Linked DNA regions of Schizosaccharomyces pombe. The protein of the gene in region 3 binds, or shares a complex with, the protein of the main gene of each other region. Each region holds a gene or a part of one and is shown on either strand. Other genes may lie near its edges.

Evidence for each region.
Region 1: tfb1 (region 3) and tfb2 share a complex: the UniProt entries of both Schizosaccharomyces pombe proteins name them as parts of the 7-subunit TFIIH core complex.
Region 2: tfb1 (region 3) and ssl1 share a complex: the UniProt entries of both Schizosaccharomyces pombe proteins name them as parts of the 7-subunit TFIIH core complex.
Region 4: tfb1 (region 3) and tfb4 share a complex: the UniProt entries of both Schizosaccharomyces pombe proteins name them as parts of the 7-subunit TFIIH core complex.

Annotation. Positions count from the first base shown.
Region 1 is NC_003423.3:3,751,916-3,756,228, reverse strand, and holds tfb2 (transcription factor TFIIH complex subunit Tfb2), read right to left. Parts: upstream 2,330-4,313; 5' UTR 2,160-2,329; coding exon 1,837-2,159; intron 1,792-1,836; coding exon 771-1,791; 3' UTR 512-770; downstream 1-511. Other genes in the region: the13 (acyl-CoA thioesterase), read right to left, coding at 1-296; ESCRT III complex subunit Did2, read right to left, coding at 2,835-3,035, 3,088-3,159, 3,215-3,283, 3,326-3,472, 3,675-3,752, 3,793-3,812, 3,853-3,868. UniProt on the Schizosaccharomyces pombe protein: Component of the general transcription and DNA repair factor IIH (TFIIH) core complex, which is involved in general and transcription-coupled nucleotide excision repair (NER) of damaged DNA and, when complexed to TFIIK, in RNA transcription by RNA polymerase II.
Region 2 is NC_003421.2:382,269-386,568, reverse strand, and holds ssl1 (transcription factor TFIIH complex subunit Ssl1), read right to left. Parts: upstream 2,379-4,300; 5' UTR 2,097-2,378; coding exon 1,879-2,096; exon of another isoform or gene 1,749-1,878; coding exon 701-1,748; 3' UTR 522-700; downstream 1-521. Other genes in the region: meiotic pumilio family RNA-binding protein Mpf2, read left to right, coding at 1-445; SPOM_SPCC1682.06 (uncharacterized protein), read right to left, coding at 3,431-3,756, 3,802-4,192. UniProt on the Schizosaccharomyces pombe protein: Component of the general transcription and DNA repair factor IIH (TFIIH) core complex, which is involved in general and transcription-coupled nucleotide excision repair (NER) of damaged DNA and, when complexed to TFIIK, in RNA transcription by RNA polymerase II.
Region 3 is NC_003424.3:3,519,661-3,524,403, forward strand, and holds tfb1 (transcription factor TFIIH complex subunit Tfb1), read right to left. Parts: upstream 2,730-4,743; 5' UTR 2,711-2,729; coding exon 2,665-2,710; exon of another isoform or gene 2,628-2,664; coding exon 2,541-2,627; exon of another isoform or gene 2,496-2,540; coding exon 1,833-2,495; exon of another isoform or gene 1,788-1,832; coding exon 1,604-1,787; exon of another isoform or gene 1,547-1,603; coding exon 1,003-1,546; intron 960-1,002; coding exon 882-959; 3' UTR 513-881; downstream 1-512. Other genes in the region: rsm7 (mitochondrial 37S ribosomal protein uS7m), read right to left, coding at 1-100; SPOM_SPAC16E8.18 (uncharacterized protein), read right to left, coding at 2,990-3,313; protein Png3, read right to left, coding at 3,476-3,984, 4,265-4,336, 4,384-4,438. UniProt on the Schizosaccharomyces pombe protein: Component of the general transcription and DNA repair factor IIH (TFIIH) core complex, which is involved in general and transcription-coupled nucleotide excision repair (NER) of damaged DNA and, when complexed to TFIIK, in RNA transcription by RNA polymerase II.
Region 4 is NC_003423.3:1,318,509-1,322,387, forward strand, and holds tfb4 (transcription factor TFIIH complex subunit Tfb4), read right to left. Parts: upstream 2,069-3,879; 5' UTR 1,986-2,068; coding exon 1,175-1,985; intron 1,113-1,174; coding exon 1,030-1,112; 3' UTR 562-1,029; downstream 1-561. Other genes in the region: double-strand siRNA ribonuclease Eri1, read left to right, coding at 2,232-2,311, 2,389-2,496, 2,558-2,963, 3,026-3,325; ERMES complex subunit Mmm1, read right to left, coding at 3,444-3,534, 3,579-3,787. UniProt on the Schizosaccharomyces pombe protein: Component of the general transcription and DNA repair factor IIH (TFIIH) core complex, which is involved in general and transcription-coupled nucleotide excision repair (NER) of damaged DNA and, when complexed to TFIIK, in RNA transcription by RNA polymerase II.

The DNA.
Region 1 (4,313 bases), on a different chromosome or scaffold from region 3:
TGTAAAAAAGTTTGATTCATATCTATTGACACGCCAGAAATAAAAAGCCCTCGACTGGCCAATGCTAAACTTCCTCCCAAATCAGTGAGTGCTGCAATACAACCGCCATGCAAATTACCCATACGATTTAGGTGATGCTTCTGCAGTTTCAGAGAGCATTCTACAAATCCTGGAACTGCACTTATAATTTGTATATCACTGACTACATGAGCATCAAACCCATTGGTATTTACAAAATCCTGCCAAACAGAACGAACGAAAGAAAGCACCTTAGTACCAGAGCTATTAATTGCCATTGTGTCTTAAAACTTCGTTTAACAGGTATCAATCACTGTAAAAGTAAGTACCTCAGGTGAATTGGTTATGTTGTGGCAGTTCTTGGCTACTCGCAGCAGCGATACTTGTAGTTAGTAAGGATTTACAAGCCATTTGCCTGCCTATAGTAATATCACCAAATCATTATTACAAATGGTAATATAATTAAATGAACATTAAATACAAGAATATGAATATTGTTTGGATTATTCAAATAACGGATATTTTTTTTTTCTAATGACGAGAAGAAGAAATTCATAATTTGAACGTTAAAGAGTTGCATCATTAAAACTTGAATTTCGTATAAATATCCAACACGCGTATAGTTAACATGGCTAATGTTGAGCTTATGTTATATATATGTTTATTGACACCAGTAAATTACTTACAAGTGATTTGAGATTAATTTAATATTTTCTAATTACCACTTCTCTTTTGAACCATCCAAAAAATATTCATTTGACAGCTCGTCTTTTCAAGTATGCGATCATGGGCTGGGCGCCTGTCGTAGTTATGAAAAACATTCTTTTCAAGGAACTGTCCCAAACCAAAACCCCGAGTTCTTTTGCGTACTCTACTGCTTGGTCGAAGCCAGAATCAGTAAGAAAATCGCGAAACAAAATTCCAGGAGTAGCCCGAAGTCTATTTTTTTCCAATTCCCATAAATAAATTTGATCTACTAATGTAGGAGGTAAAAGAGGAACATTCGATCTCATCTGAGGGTGAGCATGAGTTGTCAAGTATGTAATAATTTGCTCCGCTGCAATTCCATTCATCAAAGCACGACGAATACTATCCCGAGTTATCACACCGACAACAAGATTTGAAAAACGCGCCCTTAAGTTAGCAAACAATCCGATGATGGCAATCTGTAATGGGGAGCTTGTGTAAGCATATAATCGGTAATTTGTTTCTACAATAATAAAACCTTTATCATCATCATTTTCACTTTGCTTTCCATGCAATGAGCGATAATCAGTTGTCAGACCTGTTGCCAGTCTGGTTGGATAGAAACGCTTGGAAGTAATTTTTCTTTGATAAACTAATCCATATTCTCTTAGGTCTTCAAGCATGATTTGTTGTGTATCTGTTAAGAAGTCCACTGAGTATGCCCTCCCCAAATCCAAACTTCCAAGCATAAATAAAAAGTGCAAAACCTGAACAGGATCCATATGCGTGTCTTCAGATAGTTTTAAATAATCCAAAAGTAACGTCCAAATTTGAGCATTTATATCCTGTAACAGAAACTGAAAACCGGCACGGGTAATACGTAGCTGGTTTTTTGGACCAGACATTAAACCGCCCCGCTTTAATAGACTTAAGACACCTTCTCCAGGAAATTTAGCTTCCGGAGTTCCTACCATGAAGTGCAAGATTGTTTCCCAAGTTTCTTTCGCATATGCGTCAAGAAAATCAACCGTCACCAAGTGCTTGTCTTCATCGGTACATGGCACGCCAAACGAATTGTGATTTCCTCTAAAAAGCTTAATTAGTTTATACTCAAAATTCAATAAAACTTACCCTCCAGTCAGAGCAGTTATAAATTGTTTGCGAAATTCACTATTTAGAGTGATATATTGTCCATCAAATTGAAATATATGCATCCTAACCAGTTTGTTGAAGGATTCAGATTGATAAACTTTACTCGAAAGTTTGATCCATAAATCGAAATCTGAGAGTGCTACTGGCATAGGATTGAAAAGCATAGACATGACATACTGTCTAGCTAGAATTGGCAATAAACGAAACACAGCAAGACAAGCAGCTGGCTTTTGGTAAAGCCTTGCATGATTTGGTAACTGTTCCAGGAAGTCGTTGATACTAGACTTGAATTCTGCTTGCATGGTGACAATTTGCGAACCTACTTCAAAAGGTTTAAATTGGCGGTTGTAATCTCTCTTTATTCAGCTGAATAGAACAAAATCCAGTGTACTCAACTAATAAACTTATTTACGATTATCAATCTTCCATAAATGCCAGATAAGCAATCATCGCGAGACCGAAGGTGGATGGTGATCAAGAGCGAGTCGAATTACTGGTATTAAATAGGCTAGAATAACAAGCCAAAGCTTCCGACAATGACAATAACAATTTTTTTTTGCTGATAATTACATTAACCTGTGTACATATTTATTACAATTCAAACTTTTATGCCCAAGTTGCGAATTGTCGTGATTAGATAAAAACATATAAACAATCATTCATACTTAAGTTTTAAATAAAGTCAGTTTTAAAAAAAAAAAGATTTGTTTTAAATGTTCTGAATATTTACAGTTACGTTAAATATTTACTGTACTATTACTTATTTAGACCATTAGAGATGCATGCTTGGTTGAAATAAACCGCGGGATAAATGACCCTCGAGAGAAAAATAATTTGTTTTTCAAATATCAGTGAAAAACATATAAATCCTTAATCATCTAATTAACTTCTTCCGTATCAGCTGAATAAATTGTGCGTAATTAAACTCTTTCATTTATGCAGCAAAAAAATTTTGTTATTTGGACTGGAATTATACATCAAGACCTTAAAGCACGTAAACGTTCTTGTAAGTTGTCATCTTCTACAGGAGCGGCGGGAGTAGGAACACTGGCAGCAGGAACCGAAAGATTATTGTTCATATTCTGGTTAAATTCCAAACCAGCTTCATCAGCTACCGTTTGCATTAATAAATCTACATCTTCTTGGGGTGTATCGACAGCAGTCACTGATCCCATAGCCTTATATAGTGTTAGTTCTAGTCTTGAAATATGATTAATCAAGGAAACTTACCTTATTCATATAACCCGTTTGAACATTAACATCATCGAATTGCGCTTCAAATTTATCCATGACTTGTGAAATCTGTGGGTCAGAAACATTTGAAAAAAAACTCATTCTACGAGAATTAGGAACTCACCATCTCCAAATTCATTGTTTTCATAGCTCTGTCCATTCCCCGAACGACACCTGCCATATTTCCCGACACCTAAATAGTCAATAAGTATGCCACGTTAAATTGCTAACATACAGCACGCATAGTTACAGCAGTCTGTAAACGACTTGAAACCGCATCTATTCTTGAAGAAAGTTTGAGCAAATTAAGGGATTCTTGCTGCTTCCGAATTGCATTCGATGCATATATGCGGGCAATTTCTGAGTTGCCTTTTGTGATAGCCTAGGTAATAACAGTTAGTAATGAATAACGCCAAAAAGTAAAAAAAAATTTTTATCTAGCAAATCATATGAAGATGGAATAATCGACAAAACCAAGACTCTGCAAAACCACCAAGAATTACAATAGCAATTGATAGATGAGCTGTAAAAAAATTCATTGATAGTGACATGCTTGGAAATAGCAATCATTACAACAAACAAACCTTTTTCACTTTTTCCCGTTCAGCACGCTCCTCTTTCGCAGCTTTAAGTGATTGTTTATTCAGCGACTTTGCAGCAAACTAACGCATTGTTAAAAACAAACTTCAATTAAGAAAATACCTTTAATTGAAACAGAGATGCTTTCAGGTTAATCAATTATCAAAAAAATTACTTACTTACCCTCTAAATTGCTCATTTTGTTTGTAAAGGTAAGCTAGCTGTATAATGCTAATTCTATTGATTGAGCGTCTGCTAGTAAGGCTGATGATTTTTAGAACTTCTTAATACATTACTCGTAATGCATTTTAACAAAATTAAACAACTTCACTAAGGAAGATAGTGGGGTCTAAAATTGACAGTATCTTAGTTTATGATAGCGTAAACACCATAAACAAAAGAATATAATTAGCAGATTATAAAAAATAAGACTTTCAAAAGATAAATAATTAGTGGCTCGATGTTTAAAAATTCAATAACCTCCCAGTTTATTGTTGCCAGTTTTTTTGTAGAAGACGATCTGTCAGCATAAAAATGGATTGATAACACATGAGGAAGTTTAACTTAGTTTGCTTAATATTTTTCCAACTTCTAGACAATTTTGTTAATTACTCAACTTCTCAAGGATAAGCTCAAGAGCAATA
Region 2 (4,300 bases), on a different chromosome or scaffold from region 3:
TCAATGGGGAAACTGGGTGGTGCAACACATGGTAGAAAACGGACAAGGAGAGGATTTGAAAAGAGTCATTGATGCATTATTGAATCGTGCAGTGGAATTTAGTATTGACCAATTTGCCTCTAAGGTCATTGAAAAAGCAATTAAGTCTGGCCCAAAAAATTTCATTTCCTTATATCTAAAACAAATTACAAACGCGAGAGTTGACCGAACAAGGCAGCCTTTAATCGATATTGCATCTGATCAGTATGGCAACTATTTAATTCAGCAAATAATTCAACTTGGTCAACCAGCTGAGAAAAACCTTGTCATTACGCATATAAAAAAGCACATGGTTTCTCTTCGGGGAAGCAAGTACGGTCAGAAGGTTGCTTATTTAGTCGAGAAATGGAATTCTCAAAAACAGGTTTCCTCTGTAATCAACTACAACTGCAATACTGACCTCTGATCTGTAAATATAGGGATATATTCATTTCCACATTTTAATTAGTTTTTATTTTATATATGATACAGCTCTAACACTTACTGAAGCATCAATAGATCAAATTTTCACTATCTTCCGGATAAGGTAGTTAAGCAACGATCTCTTTAAATAAGTAAATTGAAATATATATCTCTTTACATATTTGTGAATAAGTAGCATAATAGTATTTTAAAATAATTATTATAAATAAATGCGTTCATTAATATACCAAAAGAAACTTTAATTTCCGGAGCATTGGCATCCATAACACTCATGAAGTTGTTCATGCGCAAAAACATCGCAATCCAAACAAAAATGATTTTTACACGAGGGACATGCATACCGCATCGATGAAGTAGATTCGTCAAACGGTGAAACCGGCGGCTTCGGAAAAGGTAACTGACACGCAAAGCAATGAGTGGACTTTGGATTTGCGGACCAAGGAATTTCGCTCCAGTTTTTCAATGGAAACAAATGATGATAAGATCGAGCAAGATGTGTTGAAAGGATTAGAACGAGAGAACAACTAGGGCATTCGATCGGTAAAGTACAAACTTTTGCTTTACAACGAGGACAATGAAACCCACCACGAGACGGAATTGAATGGCAAGCACAAAGACTTGGCAATTGCTCAACGACCTTAGAAGGAAATCCCATCATTACCAAAGAAGCATCAGTGGTTTTAGCCGAATCAGTAGCAGGAGGTATTGTGCTTTCGAGTAGAAGTTCGCGAAAATGTTGTTCACTGATGACTACGCCGTAGGCATTTTTCGTAGATGAGTTAGTTTTATTACAAATTTCTTTACAAATGGCGACTTCAGCAGCCAAACCAACGATACGGACACGAATAGAATCATGAACCAGAGCATCAATCGTCTTGAAAATGTCGCCAGGGTCTGATGATAAGATGGAACCAAAAATGATAAGGACTTCTCTAGTGCCATGGGAAGCAATGTGTGATAAAGAAGCTCTAGCCATTTCGAGAGCATTTTGAAGAGAGAAGTTTCCACTACAATCTCGAAGAGATTTAAGCTTCTGAATATGCGATTGAGGATTCCCATGCAAATCAGTTATCCGATGAGCGATTCCATCCATTACGCCTATAATCGATAATTGGGAAATAGGATTTTGTTCAAAAAACTCAAGAACAAATTCAGAAGCATACTTTATCTGAAGGTCGAACCGCTTATGATGAAAATCACGCTCCTCCATAGAGTTGCTCAAATCTAACACCAAGACCATGTGTCTAATAATACCTCGTTGTAACGGAGTTGTATCTCTAAGAAGTCTAAATCAGATTGACAAGTTAGTATACCGTTCATCGATGCTATAAAAGACTAATATGTTTCCAAATGCCCAACATAGGCAACTAACAAACAAATGAAGAACATAAGAAAACCAATTTTGATACGCCATACCTTTTACGTTTCCCGCTTTGAATAAGCCCAGCGATAACGCCTACTAAACTACCCTCTGCGTCCTCCTGTACGATATCCCAAGAACGCTGATATTCACCTTCCCAAGTATAACCCTCATTATCGTCAGTTTTCCTGCTTCTTACTTTAACTCTTCCATTTTTTTGTTCATCCTCGCTTTCCGACTTGTCAGAGTCAAAACTTTTTTGGTTCTCATTCATTGAGTGTTATTTTAACCGAGCATAGGTATTATGCCAGAACGCTATTTGATAATTAGATAAATGAATATTGCACAAATTCTATTCCTTGGTTTCTACAGACTAAAGAACTCAAAGCGAATGTATTTCTTCAAGTCACGTTTTACCCAGTGAACTTTTGGTAATTTGAATAGTCGCGTCGAGTTGCTTTACATGCAATGAGCGAAAGTTCTTTCTTTTATTATTTTTAGTTTTATTTTTTTAAAAAGCAATGACTCCTGGGCATACCAGTAAAATGGTAAGACTAAGTAAGTACTAGAACAAGAGACCATTTACACGAAGACAATACGGACAAGGAGCGCAACCATTATTTGTTAAATATAATAATGAATTTCGTTATGCTGCGTTAATTCGTGTTTATCAGTCTTTGATTTGTGATATGAAATTTGTATACAACTATTTCTGTTATTTGAAAAAACTTAGGAAATTATGAAAGTAAAAGAAGAATATAAAATAAATCTGTACTCCTCATTCTTTAAGGATGAGTTATATATCGTATTTTATAAAATTATTTATGGCTCGGTTATTTGTACAAACTGCATATTGCAATATAGTAGAGACTTAGAAATTTGCAAACTGCGTAATTGCCAATATTTTATGTAAAGCTACAAGTGATATGGACATAAGAAGAATAATTACTTTTCGCTTAGGCTGAATGTTGGATGGTTTGCAGGACGAAAGAGTTCATTTAATTGATTTTCTCGAACAGAAATTGGCTACTGACTAGGAATTGCGAAATCGCATTGTTTAAGAAGTTCTCGTTCTACTCCAAGGTCGATTTTTTCGTTTTTATTTGTCTTAGAAACAAATTTCAACTTATATTTGCTGTATATACTGGTTTTTAAAACTCCAAAACTTGAGAATGATGAATGGAATCCTTATTTCGTATATATCCAACAAAAAAAAAGGTTAAATCACTACTTTGCATCTTTTGAGTAATGTCTTAATTGAACAATTTTTTAAGTCGCAAATCTTACAAAGTCACAATTAAGGATTGTATATCAATTTGGTAAAACAATAAAGAGGATGATTAATCTATAATTGACAACAGATTCATTAGTTAAATGAATTTTCCTAGCACCACAAATACACATCGTGTTTGCTCTATAACAGAGACAAAAATAGTGATGACTGTCATCGAAAATGATTAAGTGATGATGCATATAAGATAATAATACAAGGAATAGAAATAAAGGAGAAAAGTGACTTTTGCAAGAAAGTAAGAAAATTAGTGATGAAATAAAAAAAACCCTCGCAACTGTTGGCAGCCCCTTGATTTTTTTCTCTAGCCATGACTTTTAGTTGCTGCCCGATTCTACATCTTTAGAAGTGTTGCAATCGGTTTCCTCAGCCATTGTATTGTCACTTGCTGGCTCTGTGGTAATTGCTTGGCCTCGCATAGACGACATTTCAACGTCGCCAGTCTCTTCATCTTGTTCTATTACTTCGAGCCCGAGAATAAACAACAGTAAGGATAAAATAATATGAGCCAAACCTTGAATTGCTTTAGCTACATATTTAGCTAGGCCTGCAATCGCTTTAGCTAGACCTTCATTCGCTTTAGCTACAGACGGTGCATAAACATAAGCTTCTTCAAACGCTAATTTAATTAACGAAAATGAAACTAGAAAATCGTTAGTCATGAATTCAAATCATCTCAAAAACTTACAATAAACAATAATCACTGTCATCACGTATGTAAATATTAACACTATAGTTTCAATAACATATTTAACCACAGAATTAAGATCCGCCAATGCCTGATCGAAATAATTATAAAAATTATGATAAAGCAATAAAGTAAGAATGAAAGGAAGGAAGATATGAAATATCGCATATCTAGCTTGTGTAAGTCGCACATTTTCCGAACGCTTTCTTAATCTAGCAGGTGCAGCCATTGTATTTTTTTTTCGTAACGATGGTTGTGTTAATGTTGAGTTTTGTTTGACAATTGGATTGTTTACATGATTATTGACTGAATATGAAGGACAAGAATGTAAACAACCCTTCTCCAAATCATTCCAAACTTCATTGTATTGAGGTAACTTTTCGTCTGGCATTTTGAAGAGCCTTTTACCAATAGTGATTATATACGTTTGAGTTTCAACTTGAACATTGCAAAATAAAATGCGAAATTAAAATATAAAATAGATAAATAGATCAAAACC
Region 3 (4,743 bases):
CTTGAAAAGTACGAGTCTGATGGATAAAAACAAGCGACTCTTTCATCAAATGTCCCGAACTCGCACATCGAAACAAAGGTTGCTTTATGAGTCGTAGCATGGCCCTTTATTGTTTGTTCTTTCTTCTTGAATGAAATTTTTAAAACAATTACTCTTATTAATCAAAGCATGTAGGAAAGCTAAGGTGTGCGTAGATGTTTAAGCTTAGTACATATACACTATGGATAAATGAAAGAAAAGGGAAGGGAACTAGGCGCTAGCGTGCTACATTTCAAAGTCGTTTGGCTATTTATTTATTAACTTGAAATAAGATAAATTAGGTAATCGATGTTAAAATATTCATCATTAATTGTGTATCCAAATTTAATACTTGAGCTAGACACAGTTTTATTGGGATCATACAGAACTGATACCTTGAAAGAAAGTAAAAAAAAAAGTTATATATAATATACAGAGAAGCGATAAATTGAAAAATTGTAAAAACAAGCATTTAAAACAAAAGAGAGAAATTATGGGACATTAATTAATTGAACATCAGTTTATAACATACTATATTCGTGTCATAAAACGAATTTTAATAAATAATAAAATCTATAAAGACATAAAAACATTAGATTTTGGCCTATGAGCACAGTAATCTAAAAACAGTTTTGATTGTCTTTTGAATCTATAAACCAAAACAAAAGTTTTTTAATTCAAGAGTTGTATAAACAGAAAAAGAGCCATATCCAGCATTTCAATGTTCATTTTTTCCAGCCTTTATGAAGAAAGAACATTAAGTCCAATAAAGAATATATCAATATATCATTAACCTCTATATGGAAAAACAGAAACAATTACCTTTTACAAGCACAATTGAGTTTCCAAAGACATTATCAAACCTAAGCAGGAGGATAAGACATTCGTCTTTGATACTCCGAGATTGACGTATCAATAGAAGTGAGCGTACAGGATACCAACTAATCCTAGTTAATAATCAAAATCTCTACAAAAAAAACTTACCTCATAAACCAGTTTTGGATCAACGTTTTGTTCCTGAGCCTGGCTCGCAATTGCCTCCACCCTTTTTTTCGAATTTAACAGAGCATTCTGAAGGGGGGCCATCGCCTTCTTGTCCGGGAAAGTTGTATTCAACAAGGCATTCCAAAATTGATGCAAAAATTCTATCGTAACGGTATGGCACAAAACAATTTCATTTTTTATGTCAATAGGTAAATTTGATGCAGTGCCGTGGGTCTCAAACTCATGCTTTTCGCGCATACTCTGAGTAAGCTGCATAGCGGCTTCAGCCAAAGAGTCAGAATCATGTTCAATGTGATTTAAGCTTATCGAATCTTCCTGGTATAAATGTTGAAGAGCTTCCAATGAAGGCAAAGGCTCTAAACCAACTTGATTTTTTGAGGGGACAAAATTATTTTCCAATAACTGATCTTGACCTTTGATTTTTAAGACAACTTTAGAGTCACTGGCTTCTTCTTCTAAATCGTGAAAACCAGATTCTTTTAAGTATGTTTCTTCATTTTCGTTGTTAAATCGTTTAGAGTTTCTACAAGTTGTTAGGCATACCGAAGCAATAACAATTAATAAAACCGAATATACATACCCCAAACTTTTTTCCAAAAGTCTTTCCGAAAGCTGATTGATGTTTTTCATAAACGGTAGAGCTTCTTTGTCAATTCGCATAGTGATATCAGGTCTAAGTTCTGCTATTACATTTGCATTTTGATCATTTCCTTCTAAATCAAAGAGGTGCGATGCAATAGGTTCATCCGATACTTTGGTTACCTCTTGAAAATGTTAGAAATGGAATTCATCTAGGTTGGAGAAATTACCTTCATTATCTTTTAAATACTTATCCATTATATCATCAGAGGGATCCATTGGTGTAATTCTGTCGCCACGAAGCTTTTTACAAAGCTTGGAAAGGAAAAATCTACTCCAAAACTCTCCTTCTGCTAGAGGAGGCACATGCTTGTCATATACCTTTCGGAGCAATGGATGTTGTTCAAACATATCGTGAATTTGCTGGCCGGTAAGGGAAACTTTCATTTGGTTGTCCACTGTTTTAGGTTTAATAGTAGACAAGACATTATAAGGACCACGCTGCTGAGACCTTTCTACAGCATGAGCGCGGAGCAAATGAAGCCTTGTGCTCCAAAATTGCTCATTACTTAAATGTCCCTTCATAACTGCTTCCTTAAATGTTTGTAAGAGATCGGGATTGTTAGTAAGCAAAGACTCTTGTAAGTCGATGTCCTTTTCTAGATTCGTAGAATTTACACGATCGACATTGGCTCCTTGTGGTTTAGATTGAGAGCCTTCCCTTTGTCTTTGTATCGCATTTCTCAACTCATTAGTAATCATATCACAATTTTCTCTGGCATTAGGAGTACCGGTGAAATGAAATACTAAAGAAGTGGGATCTTCACCTTCCTTTACTACTATAAAAACACGAATCATAACTTTTGGATTAGACGCTGGAGTAGTTTGAAGATCTATCAATCTGTCAGTAATCTCGAAAATGCAACAATTATTATTACTCGAAATTGCATCAAAAGCAATATCTACTGATGGTGTTGTTTTCCCTTCCCCCGTCCATTTTAATCTACTATCGATAGATAATACGCCTGCATGTTAGAATCATTGATTTAATTGTTATTTTACCTTGTTTTTTTCTGAATATGGCTAATGCTTCTACCCTGTCTCCCATCAGATATTTTGGTAGTTGTGGAATACACCGCTAGTCTTTTACGAAATTATCAAGATTTGTTAGACACAGGATGAACATTGGAAACTACGAAAATCATTAGAAAAATAAAAGTTTTGAATGGTTTCTTGATGTCCCAAATCATATACACTTAGATTTTGGGTAAATATATCCTCATTAAGTTGAGCTATGAACATAGGTAACCTATAAGAGACAGTTATCTAAAACTATAGCCCTGTTTTATTTTTAAAAAAATACAATATGAATTAATCATATACGCAATCAATCCGACCCTTCAGAGCAGTAGACAAGAGTGGTTGTTGTTCCATAAAGTACAATGCGTTTATCCCAGGTAATACGATATATCTCAGCCAAAGAGAAAGAACCAACATGTGAAAAGTAATAAACTATCACTACTAAAAGTTCAAAAGATTCGTAATGTCCGCCAAAAAACTGATAGTGGCTACAAATAGAATTTGTAGAGTAATTCAAATGTCTAAATACGTTCCTTTCTAACATAATTCCTGGTAGTATTATCAAGTAATTGTTTCCAAAACATGCAAACTCTTTAAACGTAGCATTAAGTATGAAAGAAGTTACCTCCATTCGAATCAGTATGGAAAGACATGAGTTTATATATGTTTTCAAAGTGACTTCTGTTGAATGACTAGAATTTAGTAGCTAATCCCGGATAAACTATTATTAGTGTATTTCAATTAGAAAAACAAAAAAGCAAGAATTTTAATAATATAAGGCTTTACGTAAGTTTCAAGATTTATTGTAAGAAGAAACGTTTGCACTGCTCTCTGAAGAATAGGGAGAGAATTGTTTGATGTCGAGGTCTTCATTTGTGGTCTCGGTTAATTCCTCTGTCTCTGGTAGTTTACCAGAATCCGTGATTATTTGCTTTTTATCTCCTTCCTCCGATGCGTTTTCAGCTGCTAGCAATTCTTTAGCACGGCGATTCCTTAAATTGGCTCTCCGCCGGGATGCTCTAATAGGTCTCGAAGTTTTTTGCTCTTTTATAACCTCTGGAGTGAAAGGAATAAAAAAATTTGGTAATTTCATTTCCATCTTTTGATAACAGTGTTCTAAACGTAAAACATTACTATGAGTAATTGCCTCTGCATACATTGCAATGTGGGATTTTTTTCGAGTTTGTACATCATCGGATTTTAACAGTAATGATAAGTTTCGAGCGACTAAATTACGACGTTCAACACTAGTATCTCTGTTAAGAAGGTCATCAATTGAAGAAAGAGCTTGTGAATACACATCTGAACATGTTAATCATTTTAAATCAGAAAAAGGCAAGCTCTAGATAGGCAAGTTTTGATAAGAACAACATAAACTTATTATAAGCCTCAGTAGCGTTCAAGTCCTTTTGAATAACATATTCAAGGTTCAAACAAGTCCTAAGCAGATTGATTAAACATTAACAAAGAAAATCAACACCAGAACGGTTTCACTAGTAATCTTTCATTTTTTTGTTTATTATCAAAACCTTCACAGTTGTTCAAGCAAAAAATCCCAATCTATAATGCCACTATCACTTACCCTTTAGTTCAGCCTCTAAAAAACGGACTTCCGTAAAATTTTTGGATAAATCACCCGGTATAGCTTCCAATGCTAAATAATGTAAGAAAATTATTTATTTACACATGTTCATTTATTACCGTCAGCAAGTTGTATAAGAAGATCCAAGTCATTTTCCTTTTTTGGTTTTGCCATGGCTGACGACTTGTCGATTATATACAGCTATTCATGAGGATTCTTTCTAGTTTGACTTTTATTACTTGCCCAAGGTTAGCATTGCTTTTTGCTTCCTTTTGTTTACGTCTGTAATATAAGTGCAATCGAACCAAAGAATCTCGGTTTTCCACTTATAAGGCTTGCTTCAAAGCTTTTTCAAAACTTTATTTTATATAGCTGTTCTCCAAAACACACCTAGCTTCTTTTACTTGAGTATGAACTATTGTACCTAGTTGGTAGTGGTCGTTCATGAAATGCGTTAAACTAGGAAAATATCGTCCCGA
Region 4 (3,879 bases), on a different chromosome or scaffold from region 3:
GAAATAAAACGCTATATAGTCGGGAAAGAGCTGTTAAAAAGCACAGTCAATCAAAAATTCTAAAATTAGTGGAAAATAGACATTCAGGATGTCAGAAGTTTGTAATTGAATCTATCAACAGATTAGGCAATGGTTGTAATGCTCCTAAGGTTAATCAGACTAATTTACGTCTGAAATCTGAAGATTTAGAACAAATATATTACAACCTTTTTATTATTTTTCCTTTTTTAAAAACTATGAATATCTGATTGCAGAATAAACGAATTTAAGAAAATACTTTTTTTTTTTCAAGCTTGTCGTCACTTGTGAGTTTGAGAATATTCGGGCAAATAAAAGTAAACCGGCTCTATTAGTATGAATTATCAATCCGCGCTTTTATTGCTCAGTACAGAAATTCAGAGGTTGAGTTACATGTAAAAACCAAGATTCGTAACCTTACTACAATAATCAAACCAATTCATTATAAATTGCATTCATATAGATCTCAATGTAATATAACTTTTCTGATTAAAAAAGCTTAAAAAAAGCCATTGTTAAAATGATCAAGCACCAACATTAGAGATGCAATAGATTATAAACAGTAGAAAGGAAAGTTCCTGTGAAATAATTTCTGTCAGCATCTTCAACATTAATGATTCGTTAGTAAATTAATTAAAGAATAGTATATAATTTCGTCTTACTGCACTGTTTGGAAAAGAAAGAAGCCAATGCAACTTGAAGAAATAATAGAAGAAGCTCTAAGGAAATAAATAATAATAGGGTACGTTGGAATGAATTAGTTGCTTATACGTTAAGTTTCTACTTGTGGATGCCCCTTAAGGAAATAGTTTGATCCTTCCGAAAAATGTTAACATTTCAAGTGTATCAAAATGCCAGAAAGTAAAAATCGCCAAAAAAAAAGAGCTAGACTGTACAAATCACCAGGATAAGGAGATTTAGGTAATGAAAAACAGGGTTTCAAATATGATAAAGCTGTACACCCGGTGTGAGACAAAGAAATATATAGTTTAATAATAATATAACGAATTATCAAGTGTGCAATTTTTTTGACATAGGTTCTACCGTGAATTTGGTATGACAAGTAGAACAATGCACCCGTGGTTCACAAAATACTAAAGAGGTTAGCAAAAGGTCAAATGTTCAAAGCCTATCGTAAAGCTTTGTTACTACTTACTTGATAGACAAACTGAGCAAACAAAGCCAATATCCAAAACCTTTTTGTGGCAAAAACATGTAGCTCGAAAATCAACATTCGCTTGGTTTGGGGTATTTAAGTGTTTTCGAAGATTTTGATCCGGAAAAAGCGACATCATGAGATATTGTAGTAAGCCTTTGGGGTTGTCAACTTTTAAGTAAATCCCTCCTGTGGCATCTGCTGCTTGTTCTAAAAACAGGGTGCCTCCCTCAATGTTGCAAACGTTAATTGGAATATTTTTCTTTTGAGCACAAAATATACAATTCATAGTAGGAATATACTGAAGAGCAACATCACCAGTTAATGAGAAAATTAGAATTCGAGAACGAAGAGTATTTTTATTTTGAACTTGATTGATATATGCAAGGGCTCTAGATAGTGCTCCGGAAATCATCGTTTTTCTTGAAACTTTATCAGTCGAACTCATGAGTCGCTTCATCCCAGATAAAACTAAGTCGTCTACCTCACGAAACTTTCGATACGTATTTGCCTCCTTGGTAGGATCTACTTCTGCGACTTTTTGCTCAGGTGCAATCGAAGGGTATAGGTATTCAACCTTGTCCGAGTGTGAAGCTAACACAGCAACTCTATTATCATGATGAAAAGCTAAGTGTGCGTTTAGAAAAACCGTAATATCTGCCAGTACCTTGGAAACAGGCACTTTTTTGGAAAGGGAGTACCATGAGGCAGGATTTGCGTCTAATATAACTACAAGCAAACTGGGTGTATCATTTGCGTCTTCAGATATATCCCACGAGGCATTTTGTTTCAAAGTTTGAAATTCATCCATCCCTCTTTTTATAATGTGTTTTTTCTCAATGCTTTCCCAACTTTAATACAGGTAGACAACAACCCAGAAAAAGTGTAGGGTTCAAAAAAAGATTGCCAACAAAACAGTGTTATTTCAAAAACATTTATATTCCATTATAATGAAATGGTTTATCTAATGAAATAAAAGGTAAAGTAATTCCAAAAATATAAAAAATTTATGGAGTCGCCAGTGCAGATTTTAGTTTGGCCTTTTCCATGTGACGAGATGAACCAAAAAACACCGTCTACGGTAGAAGAAATTCGTATAGCACTACAAGAACTTGGGTTGAGTACGAATGGAAACAAGTATGTTACTGAAATTGAGAAGCAATTAGTCCGTTTTCTCAGAGTTTATATAAATTAATTATTTACACAGTATAAAGAGAAAAACTGAAACGGCGATGGAAATTTCGTGAAAAACGTCTTGAAGAAAAACGAAAACAAGAACGTTATCAAAAGTTTTCTACTAGTAATGAAAACAAAACTTGTTTGTAGGGTTAAATCATCAATTGTTTAAACATTTTCTATCTAACAGTAACTGAATACTTGTAGACGATACTTGCTAATTGTGGACGTCGAAGCTACATGTGAAGAAGGTTGCGGATTTAGCTTCGAAAACGAGATCATAGAATTACCATGTCTTCTATTCGATTTAATAGAAAAATCCATAATCGACGAATTTCATTCTTACGTTCGCCCATCCATGAATCCTACTTTGTCTGACTATTGTAAATCACTGACAGGAATTCAACAATGCACTGTTGATAAAGCGCCTATCTTCTCAGATGTCTTGGAAGAACTATTCATATTCTTGCGGAAACATTCCAATATTTTAGTTCCCTCAGTTGATGAAATTGAGATTATAGAACCCTTAAAGTCCGTACCCAGAACACAGCCCAAAAATTGGGCCTGGGCTTGTGATGGTCCTTGGGATATGGCGTCCTTTTTAGCCAAACAAGTAAGTGTTAATATAATTTTGTTCGGTTTGTCTCACATTTCGCTAACAAATCGTATTATCAGTTCAAATATGATAAAATGCCAATTCCTGACTGGATCAAAGGACCATTCGTAGATATTAGGTCTTTCTATAAAGACGTTTATCGCGTTCCACGCACAAATATTAATGGAATGCTAGAGCATTGGGGTCTTCAGTTTGAGGGAAGCGAGCATCGCGGAATAGATGATGCGAGGAATTTATCACGAATTGTTAAAAAAATGTGTTCGGAAAACGTAGAATTCGAATGCAATAGGTGGTGGATGGAATATGAGAAGAACGGCTGGATTCCGAATCGAAGTTACCCGCCATATTTCGCAAGCTAATGCTTAAAATTTTTATTTCGACTTCATAATCAATATATTTCGTGGAATCTGGTAGAGATAAATTATCGTTAAAATTCATAGATAAAAAAAATTTCCGAAAATTACGTCAAAAGAATGTTTAATCTTCATTAGATGACTCCTCTTGAGGTGCATGGGACCTCGCATGTCCTTCTTTTGCAGAGGTTGGCCATAGGTTGGGAATTGCGATCCTGTGGGAATTAGTTAGTATGAATCAATTCATACTCTCACTTACTGTTGAAACTGAGGAGAAACACAACGATTAGTAAACCATTGTCGAATCCTTGATTCGATCAATTGTGTAATTTTAGGAATGTCTTGAAGCTTTGACCTAGCTCCCACAAGAGAACTTACTTGTAGCGAGATCACGAAATTGGGGTCAAATGACAAGTTCATATATGCAGGCTGGCCTGCACCATTGCTTGGGGAAAAATAAATCATAATCTAGGACAAATGTTAGAAAAGACCGTTATTAAAAGACGAAAAAAAATAGTCTATCGTAGAATACCACTGTGATACGATTTAACACTTGATGT